Linked DNA regions of Rattus norvegicus. The protein of the gene in region 1 purifies or fractionates together with the protein of each later gene. This does not show direct contact. Links are inferred from orthologs where the notes say so. Each region holds a gene or a part of one and is shown on either strand. Other genes may lie near its edges. The genes, in order: Polr3d and Polr1d.

Evidence for each region.
Region 2: the proteins of Polr3d (region 1) and Polr1d purify together in Homo sapiens (affinity purification with mass spectrometry; 6 studies listed by BioGRID and IntAct, counting the BioPlex papers as one, with this or other methods). This does not show direct contact. The link is inferred for Rattus norvegicus from reciprocal best matches to the Homo sapiens genes POLR3D and POLR1D.

The regions. Positions count from the first base shown.
Region 1 is NC_086033.1:51,920,744-51,928,565, reverse strand, and holds Polr3d (DNA-directed RNA polymerase III subunit RPC4), read left to right. Parts: upstream 1-2,613; 5' UTR 2,614-2,655; exon of another isoform or gene 2,656-2,706; intron 2,707-2,874; 5' UTR 2,875-2,879; coding exon 2,880-3,044; intron 3,045-3,613; coding exon 3,614-3,657; intron 3,658-4,598; coding exon 4,599-4,750; intron 4,751-4,886; coding exon 4,887-5,011; intron 5,012-5,269; coding exon 5,270-5,438; intron 5,439-5,785; coding exon 5,786-6,051; intron 6,052-6,211; coding exon 6,212-6,364; intron 6,365-6,508; coding exon 6,509-6,631; 3' UTR 6,632-7,283; downstream 7,284-7,822. UniProt on the Homo sapiens protein: DNA-dependent RNA polymerase catalyzes the transcription of DNA into RNA using the four ribonucleoside triphosphates as substrates.
Region 2 is NC_086030.1:13,113,472-13,121,229, forward strand, and holds the start of Polr1d (DNA-directed RNA polymerases I and III subunit RPAC2), read right to left. Parts: upstream 4,599-7,758; 5' UTR 4,564-4,598; coding exon 4,538-4,563; intron 1-4,537.

The DNA.
Region 1 (7,822 bases):
GCCACTACCTAAGAGTTGGGAACAAGGGCAGCAAGTTTCTTAATCATGGAGGCACCTCCAGTCCTCTTGCATAAGGACTCTTTGAAAACAATTAGTAGCATTGATGATGACCCACAGAATACTCATCGAAAATAGTCTAGCCACCATGGAAGCCAGTTTGTTGTTCATGTTTCCAAGATTAATCATTCAATCATACAAATCAACAGGTGCACTCATTCCAGAGAAAATTTGTATTGACACAAAAAGCTGCATGGTTATTCACAGCAATTTTATTCACAATAGACACAAACTAAACAAGCCAGATGTCTTTTTTTTTTCCCCCCTTCGGAGCTGGGGACCGAACCCAGGGCCTTGCGCTTCCTAGGCAAGCGCTCTACCGCTGAGCTAAGTCTCCAACCCGGCCAGATGTCTTTCAAAGGATGATTAAAGAGACCACAGATACAAAGTAGGAAAAGGAACAAACTAATGATATATATCACTTGGATAATAGCCACAAAATTATGGGGATAAAAGTGCAGCCACAAAAGCTGGGCACGATGGCACATTCCTTTAATTCTAGAACCGCTGAGGCAGAGAGGCAGATACTTTACTGAACGTCTGAAGTCAAGTCTTGTCTCTACAGTGAGTTTCGGGTCAGCCAGAGATACATAATAAGACTCTATCTTCTGAAATAACAAAATGTTAGAAATGGAGACTAGATTAGTGGGGGGAGGAGTGAGGAAAGGAAGAGAAGGCTCAGCAGTAAGGAAGACTGTATCTGAAAGGGCAGCTCCAGGGATTTCTGTAGTGTTGAAATGTCTTGTACCATGACTGCAAAAAATGTTAATACTCTGGTTTTGATAAAAGGGCTAGATCTTACAATTGGGGAAGGCAAAGTAAACAGAATTTAGGCTCTGCTGATCATCACCACCACCACCATCATCACCACCACCTCCACCACCATCACCACCACCATCAACATCACCACCACCACCACCACCATCACAACCATCACCATCATCATCACCACCATCATCACCACCACTACCACCACCATCACCATCATCACCACCATCACCACCACTACCACCACCATCACCATCATCACCACCATCACCATCACTACCACCACCATCACCACTACCATCATCACCATCACCACCACTACCATCACCATCACCACCATCATCACCTCTACCACCGTCTCGATTTGTAGTCCAAGCTGGTAAACTTGGACCGGCCTGCTTTTGCCTCCCAAGTGCTGGGTTTATAGGCATGCACCAACATGCCTGACTCTCCACATCATTTTACTTTTCCTTTAAGTAACTGCATGTGTATGGCATCAAAATGAAGTTTACTTTTAATATGTACTTCTTCTGAAACTCCTAGGGATGTAATCTAAAAGAAAACAAAAAAGTTGGATCTATCAAATGTACACTAGTTATTTCTAACGATATACCTGTTCAAATGAATGCATTAAGGAAGATAAATATATATATATATATACATATATATATATATATACACACACACACACACATATATATACATATATACTCCTATTGGTCATTTGTTTCCAACAAAGGATACAGTATTGTGTGGCACAATGTTACAGTACATCACTAATATTTTAATGCTAGCAGTCTATGGAATTCTAGCAGAAATAGGTTCCTTCCCTAGAACTACATAATGTTTTTAATTCGTATTGGGGATCTCTGTGGTGTAACATTAAATGACTTTTTCCCCACAGATTAAGTTATATATATTTGTATATATTAAATGTATACATCCATTACAATAAAATTTTTTTAAGCTGGGATTGGTGGTGCACATCTGTAATCTGTGCCCTGAGGGGTGTCTGTGAAGAGACAGGACTGCTGCCAAGTTCGAGGCCAGCCTGGTCTACTTAAGTTCCAGACTTGATAGGGTTACAAGAGTAGTGTTGTCTTAAAAACACACACTACACACACACACTCCCAACCAAAAAAAAACAAAAAACAAAAACTCCCACTTTAAGAGCAAACTTCAGTTCCAGGCTCTTTCCAGATTTGACTAAGCAATCATGAACCCAGATAGGCAAAGAGCTATTGGCTGCTCTGTCCAAACTGCGTTAGGACCTCAGGGATCCGCAAAGGAAGGCGCTCACGAGCAAAGGGACAAGCCCGAAGGTACAGTGACCACTCCAAGGTCAATGCAGGGAAGCTGCAGCCAGCCTCGGCCTGAGGGCAAGGCTCCCTATGTCCGGAGATGCATCCCGAGAGCCGACCTCACTGTTCACAGAGGCTGCGCAGTACACCCCGTACAGCAGGTAGGCGACCTAGGAGGCCCCCCCGACCCTGTGGACCGCACTAGCACTGTCATCCAGGAGCAGAGACACACCCCCACGAGTCACACCCCCGCACAGTTCAGAATCCACTCCCATATCCTTTTTCGCCCTCTCAACCCAGCTTTTCCCGACTCCGGGAAGAACCGGGAAGAGAAGGCGGAGGACAGCGAGGCACCGTCTGATAAATACTATGGTCCGATCACGCCCCCTTGATGTCACTTCCGCCCTAGGGTAAGATGGCAGCCCCCGGTTCTTGCCACGCAGACTTCCGCCTTGCCGTGAGACCGGCGGCCGGTGGTTGGTCTCGTTAGAGGTGAGGTCGTGAAACTCGGCGTAGAGCCTCAACGCAGGTACGTCATGCAGTCCCGGGGAGAGGGCATGTGACGAGTCCAAAGCTAGAGGTGGGGCGCTCCGGGAAACCTCGCCACGTGGGACTGGGAGGAGCTGTGGTGCAGCGGGAACGACGCACGGACGGGGGGGGGGTACAGAGGGGGATTACGTGGGTGGGGTTCCGCCCAGGGTCTTCGCATCCAGCCCTTGGAGTCACTTTGTTGCCTACTTTCCTCTAGGAACCATGTCGGAAGGAAACGCCGCGGGCGAGCCCAGCAATCCTGGAGGGCCCCGACCCCTTCTCTCTGGGGGCCGGGGACTTGTGGGCCGGCGGCCCGCTCCCCCGCTTACGCCAGGCCGCCTTCCCTCCATCCGCTCTCGGGACCTCACCCTTGGCGGTGTCAAGAAGGTACCGGCGAGTGTATTTGTACAGAAACCCAAATGCTTTGAGTTCCAGGCCGAAGGGAGGCAATTCGTGATGTTCATTCATATACGGCCATTTGTCCCTGATGGGATGTCAGCCTCTAGCGAGAGACCTTCAAGCCTAGGTGCTGGTACAAGACATTGACATGGTTTCATAGGCAATTAAAAGGCAGAGAACCTAGTTAATTCAAGACATTCGGAAGTGCTTATTATGTTATGGGCACCTTACAAACTCCCATGAAAGTCAGACAAAATTGCTTTACTTGGTAGAGTGTTCATAACTCTGTGGATGTCAGTAAGGAAGCAAATAATCTAGTGGTGATGAATGAATCTTAGGCATGCAGGTAACTAACTGCTCTTTGTCCTCTCCCATTATGTGCATAACAGTAGATATAAGAGTACTCTGAAAAGAAAGCAGAACAAACAGGATAAAGCTACGGTAGTCTCCCTGTGTCATCCATTTGTCAGTGCTGGCAGATCTGTCTCTCCAAGCCTTCCCAGAATTGTTGGTCTGTTGAGCACTGCGAAAATACAGTACTGTATTTTACTTTTCAGAAAACCTTCACCCCAAATATCATCAGTCGGAAGATCAAAGAAGAGTAAGTACATAGGATTAATGAACACCACTCACCCTCTTTTGCTCTGAGTTTGAGGAAGTAATTAGGTGTGCAGCCTGGGAATTTTAACTTTTTGCCATTGGCTTATTCACCAGTGGATCTCATGCTTTAATCCCAGGTTATGTAGAGATATGTTTGCTTTTGAGACAGTGCTTCTCTACATGGCCTTTCATATCCTGGAACTCACTGTGTAGATTGCTGGCCTAGAACTCCCAGGGATCTGCTTGCCTCTCAGATCTATGTCCTGAGCCCTGGGATTAGGGTGTATACCATGCCTGGCTCTGAGGCACTTTGCATTAGAGGGCCTGCCTGTCTGTCAATCCATCCATCTGTTTGTCTGACTGCAATGAATAGCTGAGATATCAACTTACAGAGAGGGGCATTTCATTTTGGACGTCCAAGCTTTGGAGGTTTAAGTCTGTGATGAGGTGGTTCTATGCTTTTGGGTCTATGGTATGGCAGTGAGCTGGTGTCAGAGAATACCCAAGGGGAGAAAGAAGTCAAGGAGAGGAAAGGGCTGAGTTTCTGTCCTCCTTCAGGAGCTGGACAACCACCCAGTAGGTTCCACCTCAGCTTCCTCCTAATTCTGCTGAGGTGGAGCAAAGCTCTTCATACTCCTCTTAAGTTCCTCTGCTTTCCAGTCTTTCTACTTCCAGGCAAAAACAGGACAGAAAGCCCACATTTTGGACAAGGAGGTAAAGTGAGAGGAAATTAAAGGCCGTGCTTTATCAGATGTAACAGGTGTAACAACAGGTGTAACAACAGGTGTAACAGCAGGTGTAACAGCAGGTGTAACAAAGGGTTGGCTTGTGATTCTCATGGTCTCTTTTCTGGCTTGCAAACGCTGCTCAGTTGGTTGAAATGAGGTGGGTGAGGAGGGTTTGTTTCCTGAGGCAGACCCTTATATCTGTCCTCATCCCCAGGCCAAAGGAAGAAGTAACTATGAAGAAGGAAAAGCGTGAACGGGACAGAGACCGCCAGCGTGAGGGTCATGGACGGGGACGTGGCCGCCCAGAAGTGATCCAGTCCCATTCCATCTTTGAGCAGGGTCCAGCAGAAATGATGAAAAAAAAAGGTACCAGGAAGGGATCTGGATTGCGGGTCAGACCACCTGAGAAAGCAGAACATGGGATTCTCCTTTCCTAGCTTGGTTTCCCTTGCTGTTGCTGTCCCCCTGATTTAACCCTAGTGAACGGCATGATTTCCTGCAGGGAACTGGGATAAGACTGTGGATATGTCAGACATGGGGCCTTCTCATATCATCAACATCAAAAAAGAGAAGAGAGAAACAGATGAAGAAACCAAGCAGATCTTGCGCATGCTGGAGAAGGATGATGTAGGTTCCAGCAGCCTGGGGGACCGGTTTCTTTGTATCTGCTAACAAGGGCTTTTAGGAAGCCAGGCCAGGGACATCTTTGGGCTTTTGGTCACAGGAGCACTAAGGTGGGGCTGGGGATGCAGCTCCGTGGAAAGACTGCTTGCCTCCATGTGTGAGACATATACACACAAAGGAGAGGGAGTGACAGGTCCTGAAATGGGCTGTGACATAGGCACACATGCTGACATTTAATGTGACCCCCCCACTCTTTGGCAGTTCATCGATGACCCAGGGCTAAAGAATGACACACGGAACATGCCAGTACAACTGCCACTGGCTCATTCAGGGTGGCTTTTCAAGGAGGAGAGTGAAGAGCCAGACGTTAAGCCTTTTTCTGCTGGCCCCAAGGAAGAAGACATGGAGGTGGATGTGCCAGCTGTAAAAGGTAACCCGTGCCACCGACTTCCCCTCCTCCCTAGCTGTCCCCAGAAGCCCTCACATGACCTCCAAGACTGCAGCTCAGCAGTGTCTCCGTTTCCTTCCCACTCAGAAGTACAGGCGTGGAATCAAGACATAAGCTCCCGCCTCAGTCCACATGTCTTTGTGCCAGTACGCCTGGCCTCAGCTGTCTCATTTTAGAGGAGTCACGCACTCTTGAGTTTCTTTCTTGTTCCTCTGTGTAACTTCTGGCTGAATAACAGTGAAGCACATGGACATGAAGGGTTGGGAACAGAGACCTGGCTTAGCCGGTAGGGTTACTTGATGTCTTTTCCTTCTTCTCACTTTGGGCAGTGAAAGAGGAGCCACGGGATGAGGAAGAGGAGGCGAAAGTGAAAGCCCCTCCAAGAGCAGCCAGGAAGACCCCTGGTCTTCCAAAGGACGTGTCTGTGGCAGAGCTGCTGAGGGAGTTGAGCCTCACGAAGGAGGAGGAGCTGCTGTTCCTTCAGCTGCCTGATACCCTCCCTGGGCAGCCGCCTACTCAGGACATCAAGCCTGTCAAGACAGAGGTGCAGGGCGAGGATGGACAGATGGTAGTCATAAAGCAAGAAAAGGACCGGGTATGCTCAAGAGCGAGTTCTGGGGAAATTCTAGGCTGATAGCTCCAGGACATAGCCCTTGTTGCATAGATCACTGCTGCTGTGTTTCTCTCTGGGAAACAGAATAGGATTCATTCATGAAAGCTGTTGCCTAGTAACTACCTGCTGCTTCTCTCCACAGGAAACCAGGCTAGCAGAGAATGCTTGTACCTTGGCTGACCTGACAGAGGGTCAAGTGGGCAAGCTACTCATCCGCAAATCAGGGAAGGTGCAGCTTCTCCTGGGCAAGGTGACTCTGGATGTGACCATGGGAACAACCTGTTCTTTCCTGCAGGTACAACCCCTGTGGGCCAGAGAGAGGCTTGGGGAAGTATTAAACAGCCTGTGCTTAGGCAGTAAGGAACTTTTGGGTCACTGGACTGAGGGCTGGGTTGGGTGTGAGTGTGTGGTTCTCACTGATGTCTCTGTTGAATGGCAGGAACTGGTGTCTGTGGGCCTTGGGGACAGCAGGACAGGGGAGATGACAGTCCTAGGACATGTGAAGCACAAACTTGTATGTTCTCCTGATTTTGAATCTCTCTTGGATCACAAACACCGGTGAAATGGACAGATGGAGGAGGATGGTGACTGCCCATGACCGCTGCCTACTCCAGACCTTTGTTCTCAAAGACATGCAGCCCAGTTGGGGCCTCTTTAACCCACTTGTTGCAGCTTTTGGTGGCTATAGTCCCAGTCCCCCCAACCCCCACACTAGGGCCCATGCTGCCCCCCGCCCCCCCAGCAGCTATGAGTGGGAATTGACACAGCATGAGTATGGAAACGTCCTCACTTCTGGGAACCTGACCCTGCTATTTATTTTATTTATGTCTTAATCCTCAACTGACTGCATCCTCGCAGAGCAGGATGGGGCAGGCTTCTTTTTGGGGAGCCATGGGCTACAGGGCTCAAGGGGGTAGGAAAGAACCGGGATAGGATAGAACTGCCGGAGACTTAAAACTCAGTCTCAGCTCACTGGTCTCTAGTTCAGTGTCCCTGAACAAACTACCTAACCTTTCTGAGCCTCGTAGTCCTCACCTGACATGTGAGGATAATACCTACCTCACAGGGTTGGGGTGAGGATCAAACGGAATGTTGTAGATGAGAACTCCTTGCACAAGACCAGGCATACATTGTATAAGGGTGTGTATGTATGTATACACATATATACACATACCCATAGGCGCTCAATAAATGTTAGTTTTCCTTTCCTTTGCCTCAGTCTATTTCTAAGCAAATGAACATTATACTCTGAAGAAGTAAGTGGTTCTGCTCACATCCCTACTTTTGTGACTCCATTGCATTTTAAACATTTAACTCTCAGTGCTGAGGCTAAGACCTGGTGTATGCCAGGCAAGTGCTGTACCACTGAGCCATAACCCAGCTCTCACTCATGCTTACTCTGCAGCCCATCCCACCCCGGGCTCATGGAATGAATGAATGTTCATGTTAGCTCTTCTGTAGCTTCTATCCCTTGTTGTCTTAGCCATCTGCTTCCTGCTGGAGTTCTTGCTGGAAGAAGTTAGAGGTGCCTTATGGCACCCAGCAGGGGTCTTTAGGTGAAGTGGTAGGCAGACCGCTTACTCTTTGCACCCTGTCCTGCAGAGAGTGGCTGGTAGACTAACTTCCATAAAGGTATTATTGGTCAAGAGTGGCCAGATTCCCATTACACCTCATCCAGTGGTGCTTAAAAGGACAAAGCAGGGGCTGGAGAGATGGCTCAGTGGTTAAGAGCACTGACTGCTCTTCCACAGGT
Region 2 (7,758 bases), on another chromosome or scaffold:
AGAACTCACTATATACATTAGGCTGTCCTCAGATTCAGAGTTCTACCTGCCTCTGTCTGCAGGTATTAAGAGGGCACACCAACACCCCGAGCTCTCTCAGCCCTCTAGTTCCCACAGACTGCACACCGTTCCTTCCACACATGTGGCACTCCTGATGAGCCTATTTTCTCCCTGAGCCCATCTGCCATCTATATGAACTTTTATCTGAGCCTGTTTATGGCCACCCTAGATGGATTTACACTGCATGCCACAGGATGAGTGACAACCCTTTATTGCGATCCAACTGTGAGATCCGGTGGTGGTCACCAGTTGATACACTGTTTCCTCTAACTGGACTTTCTTACACCTTCCATTGGTTTTCTTCACTCTTCTCCGCCCTAACTGAACTGTCATCATCCTTGCTGCCAACTAAGCATACCACTCTAAGGGCCGTGTCTATTTTATCTTTGGAAAACTCAAACCAAGTCATTCCTCAGCAGAGTCCTCTCCTTAGACCCCAGATGAATTCGACCCACAGCCTAGTGGCCTCTGGGCTAATTTCAAAGGACCTTTTCTTCCCCAGTCATAGGGCTGACTTACTCAGCATCTTCCACAGCAGAATTTACTGTCTCATCAGGTATATACTCTACCTAACACTGAGGTTGCCTGAGGCTTGCTTCCCGGCCCCTTCCTTATCACTTTCCAGCCTCTGTTGACTTACATCTTTATGATCAGGACTCACATGGTTACCTTCAGCTTGTATCTCTCCCAGGGCCCGCAACCCTCACAACACAAGTTACTTCTAAGCTCCTTGTCCTAGTAATTGGCCTCGAACCTAGACAGGAGATGGAAACATCTGGTTCTCTATCTGACATCCTGTTCCTAGGACTTCACCCTTCTCCCTATTGTCCGTGTTATCAGCATTTTGGGCCACTTCTGGTCTGGTTTTGCTACAATTTGCCCCATCATCCCACTCTGTAATGGAAATAACACAGCACTCCAGCTCTTTTCCTCACTGAATCAAGAAGATGGGCCCTTCTCCTTATCTGCTATGCTAAACCATAGAAATCTTTAAGTTCTCCAACCTTTAGTTTCTGCTTCAGGAGCTCACATTTCCCCCCAAGTGTGCATTTGCTCTCCACTCCGCATAGCCTCTTCTTTTCCTACGATCTCTGGAACTCCTTCCCTGGTTTCTGTGTTCAAAGCAGACACTTCTCAAGTTCTCTATCTGGCCTTGTATTTGTTTAAAACTTTGTTTTTTTAACTCCATTTAAAAAAATTCCTACTGCCAAGCCAGGCAGCGGTAGTTCATGCCTTTAATCCCACCATGTGGGAGGCAGCCTGGTCTGAAGTGAGTTCCTGGACAGTCAGGACTACAGAGAAACCCTTCTTCCAAAAACAAAAACAAGTTTCCACTGTTATCTGTTTTCAAGGCCTGGTACAATGCAGGCATTCAGTGAGTACAAAAGTATCTTTTTAAAAAGTGGGTCAAGTCTAGGAAATATAGGCACTTGGCAGGGTACAAGAGGTCAAATATAACCTAAAGGTTCCTTTTTTTTTTTTTTTTTGACTTTTTGAGACAGAGTTTCTCTATGTAGCCTTGGACTTCCTATCTCACTTTGAAGACTAGGCTGGCCTCAAACTTAAGAGAGCTGCCTGCCTCTGCCTCTGCCTCTGCCTCCAGAGTGCTGGGATTAAAAGCATGTATGTATGTTGGTGCTGTTTTTCTGAGGCAAACTCTTGTTATTCAAGTCAGTTGGATCTTTAACTTGTAATTCTCCTGCTTGCATCTTTTTAATGCTGAGATTACAGGCATGCACCATCATCCCTGGCAGAAAGTGGAGTTCTGACTGAAGACAAGCATCACCAAAGATCCCAAAGCTCAAGAGCAAGAGGTGACTCGGCTCAGGAGTGACAGATACTTAGAGTGAATTAAGTCACGCCTGGGTAGAATACTTACAAGACACAAACGATTAAAGAGATAAACCAGATGACTCTTGGGATGTGAAAAGTTTTGTTAATATTGTTAGTTTCCCAAAATGTCATTTCTTCTGCAAAATGTCATTTCTTCTGTACAGAATTCTCTTCCTCCAAATCCTGACTTTCTAACAAATGTTATCTCTTCTATGTAACCCTGGGCTCCTACCTAAAGACTAAAAATGTTACCTGGTAATTCCAGTCTTTCCAATAATTAAAGTTGGAGCTGGAGAGACAACTCGGTTGCTGAAGCACTTGCCACAAACTTTAAGGATCTGATTTTAATTTCCAGAGCTTACGTAAAAGAAATTGGGCAGGGTGGCTAAGCTTCCAACACCAATGCTCGGGAGACAGATAACAAATAGGTTCCTGGGGTAGCCTAGCCTAACTGACAAACCCCTTTAACCCCAATATGTGAGAAACTAGGGCAAGGGCAAGTTTACCAAGTGCATTCCAAGTCAGCCGGGGCTAGCTGGTGAACGTGCCCTAAAACCAACCAAACTAAAGGTTAACTTCTGGCTTCCATGTGCATGCATACATATCCACACAAACAGGCCTGCACGAAACCTAGTAAAAACTGGTTTACTCATGTCGTGACTACATATTTCATTAGTGTTCTGGAATTCAAGCAATAAATTGACATCCTACAAAAGCTACGAAGATGGAGCTTGATACCAATTCAAATTCTCTTGCGAAATTAAAACTCCGAGGAGTACTTCACATTATCTTCATCCTTAAGGTAGTCTACTAATCATATCAAAGAAGCATTTGCATTAATAAAAAAAAAAAAAACAGCCCGGAGATGCCTTAGTGGGTACAGGTGCTTGCTGTGAAGCCCAACAATCATCAAATGGCTCCAATATGGCGTTAGGAGAGAACAGACTGCCATGCATGTACCACGGCATGTTTGTGTGCACATACAAGGAAAATGTAAAAACAAACACCACCTCAAGTCCCTCTTCCAATCTTCTTTCCAGCCTTTTAAATCATAGTGTCCTGGACCTCATTCTACTTTACCTCTCCTTCCCACAGCATCTCGATCATATAGAAATAGTCTTTTTAAGATCTGTGATCACAACCTCTGACTCGGCCCAATTACATCTGTTCACTTATAGTGTTGGTTCAATTAAGGGGTGACACCATCCTTGGGGGTTCATCTAGGTTCAAGGAAGAGAAACCACTCAAACTAGTTTAAACAAAAGCGAGAATTTATTAGGCAAACAGACTTGCAGAGATTCCAAAAGCTGTAATGGGTCAATAGCTAGAGCCACATTTTCCTATAGGACAGAACATGCTGTAGTCACCAATTCTAGTTCTGGGCTCTGTACCATCCTGAGGGTGGTCCTGCTTGTACCCTGCACGAGGGACTAGAGCGTGGGTTCGTTTTTGCTTGCCTTTTTATCTTTATAGTCCTTTACGCTGGCCTCAAACTTGACAAGCACATGCTGGCAGACATTCAAGAGCTCATTCAGGCCTTTCTGAAACGGCTCAACAGCTGGAAGTGCACCCCGTGTCTGAATTCGCAAATTAATTTTGCTCTCTGAAGGATGGGTCGTAGTGTAACCACAAAATTCCACTTCCGGGTTCTTCATGATTATGTACCGCAGACAATTTCCTAGTGTATGGTCCTCCTCGTGTAGTACAAATGTCACACACTGTCTATCTGTTCCAGCTGCCTGGACCATTTCCAGGGCTGTCTTCCTCTCGCCTTCAGCCATTGAGGTCTTCAATCCTGATATTTTTCTACACACATATTTTTTTGTGTAAGAATGAGATCATACGGAATATCGTTTTCTGATTAACTCTTAAAGATTCACTGCCTCATTTTCCTGCCTCCACACTTCTAGCCATAAATATTTAACTCGTTTCTCCCTACTTCATTTGACTCCAGCAAGGGGGTGGGTACCACCTCAGAAAAAAAACAAAACAAAAGAAAAACAACCCACGAAGTTAATTGTTTGCAAAAATCTTCGGATAGAGCAAAGAAAGGGGCAGAGTTATAATAGGGTAGGCCCTGCTTTAGATGAAAAGGGAGTTGACAGGCATAAAAAACACGATTACTTTAGCATAAAAATGGCAACCACAAGGTATCAGGGTGGCAGGCTCAGTTACAGCTTCCGTTTGAAAGAGGTAAGGAAACTAAGTGAAAGGAAGTGAAAAGTTTAATAGGAGGGAGAATTTGGCGGACAGAGAGAATTTACGAGCAGTCTGCACAGAGCGGAGTTGCAGTAACTTTAGCTAACTTAACACGCCAGGACCGCCACTCGGGACGGCTGGCCCGGTGCGTGACCTTACACGAGGCAGTTCTAATGAGGGTGGTGGCAGTTTGGGACTTACAGCTGGATTCCCTACCTCTCTCCCATCCCGGATGGCTAGCGTCCCTCTGGGCTTTTCTGTTATAAATGAACCCACGGCTCCTCCCTCTTCCCAACCCGGCCCGCTCTATTCTCTCTCCTCCCTTCCCCAGCGCCTGGGGTCAGGCCTAGCCGCCACGCCGGGCTCAGTCGGCCGCGTGCCCCTTCGCTACCCGCTTCTCTGGCCCGACCCGCCGCCCCACTCCACTCTTTGCCTCCAACCTTACCTCTCCAGCTCCTGATCGTCCTCCATCGCGGGGGGCGGCTCCGGGAAATCCTCAGGTGGCGCTGGCGAAAAGGAAGATCTTCCCCATGTCGCGAAAGGTGCGGGACAAGGCAGGAAGGAAGAAACCACCGACGGAAGGAGCGGATGACGGAAGGAGGGAGGCGGAGCCGCAGCGGCGCGGCAGGGCCCCCTCTGAAGGGCGGGGCTAAAACAGAACCCGCCCCCGACCACGCCCAGGCTCGGGCTGGACCGCTCACCTGGAACTGCGGAAGCCAGGCGGCTGCGGTGCACATTCTGTCCCCGAGTGCTACCGTAGATCACAGGCTTCTCGCCTGTTGCCCCGAGACATCTGCTATTTAGCGTCGGGGTCGGATCTCTGACTTGCTAGAGTCTCGAGGAACGGGACTGCCCCATGGCTGGCTATTCCCGGGACCGGAGTCCTCAGGGGCCTTTCCTGGGGCACCCAGCATATTGCAACCTTGAAAAAGCAGAGAGACTAGTGTGCAGAGGTGACTTTCCTGACGATACTGTGGGCTTTTTATTTTCTCCCAGGGGTGCAAATGTACATCTCCAATAGGTGCAAGGGCAGCGTTTGTCTTTCTTTTGGGAGAGAAGTGAGAGTTTGGAGCACCGCCCTCCTTCCTCCGGAGCTCACGCGGTGGACTTGCAGCTCCTTTTCCCTTTGAACCCAAGGAACCGCCCTTCTCAGGTGCATCCTCTCTTCTCCCACCTGACCCTGGCCAGGCTGGATCCCCGCCCCACCCAGCTGTCCTCTTGCCCTGCACACCTACACGTCAGCCGCCCCGCGCCACCTGTTCTCCCTCAGCCTGGTCCCGCAGCCCTCCCCTCCCTTCAGCTGTCCCACGCCAGGCGCGGCGCTCCAGGGGTGCACGCAGACACTTCCCGAGCGTCTTCTCTGTGTGTCTGAGGGGAGAATCCGGCCGGGAGCGATGGCGGAGGGCGGAACGCGCTCACTCTAACTCGGGAGTGATGAGCAGGGCCGACCCGGCCCCTAGAATTCCTTGATTGGTCGAGCGGCTCCAAGCCCGCTCTTAGTCCCGCCTTCGCCCGCCGTTGATTGGCTCAGGTGCGTGTCGGGTTGGGCCTCTGCGCTCGCCCCCGAGGGGAAAGGCAGCAGGGGCGGTTGAGAAGTAAAGTCTTGGCCGGACTTTGCTTCTCGCCAGGAAATCGGCGGCGGTGAGTCCCGGCAGAGCGGAGCCGGGTAGCGTCCTCGTTAGCGCGCCCGCGGGGAGCCCGCCGCTTTCCGTCAGTGAGTTACTTCGCCTCAGGTGCGGGCGGTGACGGGGTGTGGCGTCAGGGTAGGGGGGACCATCTGGGGAACCGCTGGGGGCCGCGTGGTGTCTGGCCCGGCCCGGTGCGGGTGCAGGTTCCAGGAGACCCGGTGCGGTTCTGCGCGCCTCTCGCTTCTCAAGACATGGACGTTTGAGGACGAGTTGTTGCACTTCGCGTCTGCACGTTGTCGGGAGCTAGAGTGGCGCTAGCCAGCTGCCCTTTGGTTTTGTTCCCTGGAAGGGATGAGCAGAGAGACCCTCCTCCCCGCCCCAGCCTGTTGCGGGGGAAGTCTCACCTTTCTCTTCAGATTTGACATGTTTGGGAGCGTGGGGGTATAATTTCCAAAATATGAATCCCGATTTGGAAGCATTTGCGCACAAAACACCTCTTGGGGAAAAACATCGCTGGCTTTTGAAAGCTTTCTGCCACGTTTCACACAAGGGCTTTTTTTTTTTTTTTTTTAAATGGAGTGTTCTAGTATTTCCGTTTGCATTTAAGATTGTGTGTTTGCCAGGAGCCTAAGGACGCTTCCGCGTGGCTTTTTCGAATCAATTTTTCTTTTCTCTGTAGCCTTGGCCAGCCTGGAACTCAGAGGGATCCACCTCTTTCCTGAGTGCTGTTGGGTTAGAGAGGCGTGCGCCCCACACCCCGCCAATTTTTCTTTAAAAATAAAATCACAGAAACCAATGGCAAGGATAGTTGGAGGATTCTGTGAGCTCCAGTTTATCCAAACTGCCTTCACTTTAAGAATGTCACATTCTTTGTAGTCACAGTACTTAGAAATTGGCCTCCTTCCCAGGACACAATTTGCTTTTTCTCTAGCCTGTACAGTGACACAGCACAGACGAAGTTGGATCTCAGTAGGTCAATCCTGTTTGCTTTGATAGATTTGAACACCCTCCCTCCCCCACACCTTCGGAAAAAAGGACTTTGGCAGGTAAAGAAGGAACCTGGGGGAATCTAGTGTCCTATTTGGCCTGCAGATCATTGTTGAGCCAGAGCTAAGAAGGTTTTGCCATTTTAGCCTGTCCAAATTCCATGTGAGTTTTCCCAAAGGGGTCAAATGTAGGCCAACTCAGAACAGCTCTAGAGTCACATTGCTTTTAATTTAGTCCATCCACTAAGTCTGTGTTCTTTTCCTCTAATCTTCAAGTTTGAGCCTTTTCATTGTATAAACATTTAGCTACTCAGTGTCTACCGCTTTGGCAACTTTGAGGAAAGGGATCATTTCTTGCCCAAAGTTGCTCAGTGGCTGTATACTTCTTAGTCCACTACCGGAAAGTAATTTGAACAAAGTAATGTGGGAACTTAAAATCATTTCTGCCTAGAATGTGTCAGAGGAATTGGCACAGGCTCTCTCTGGGAGCATCCTAAATGCTTATGGCTGTAGAATGTGACATTATCTGCTGTGCGTATGGTTAATCTGAAGAACACAATGTTTGGGGTTAAAGTAATAGGGGTCAGGGGCTGGTTTTTTTGTTCATCTTAGGTAGGGTTCATGGTATGTTCTACAACTGGACCCTCAGATATCTGTTGAAATACTAAAAAGAAAGGATTTTGTGTAGCACATGAAGACGTTTGGACACTTCATCCAGTCAGTGATCGTGGGGTGTTCATTTCAAGCAGGAAGATGCTGTGGTGAGGTTTGCATTCCATAGGGATAGCTGGGGGACAGTGGGGGTCCCAAGAGTGAGAAACAGAATGGGGCTACCGTGAAGTCTCTGTGCATATTATCTGTGTTTGCCGGGCTTTATTACCCGCTCTTAGCTCTTTAGCATTTTAGCCTGGTGGGTTTGAAAACCTGAAAAAATAAAAACAGTCATGGCTATGGCTCAGGAAAAGCTCAGCCAAAGCTTGTCATCAGCGGGTGAAGAAAGCTGGTGTGGCGTTCGGGCGGTATGGACTCCTCAGAGAGTGACTAGGTAGGAG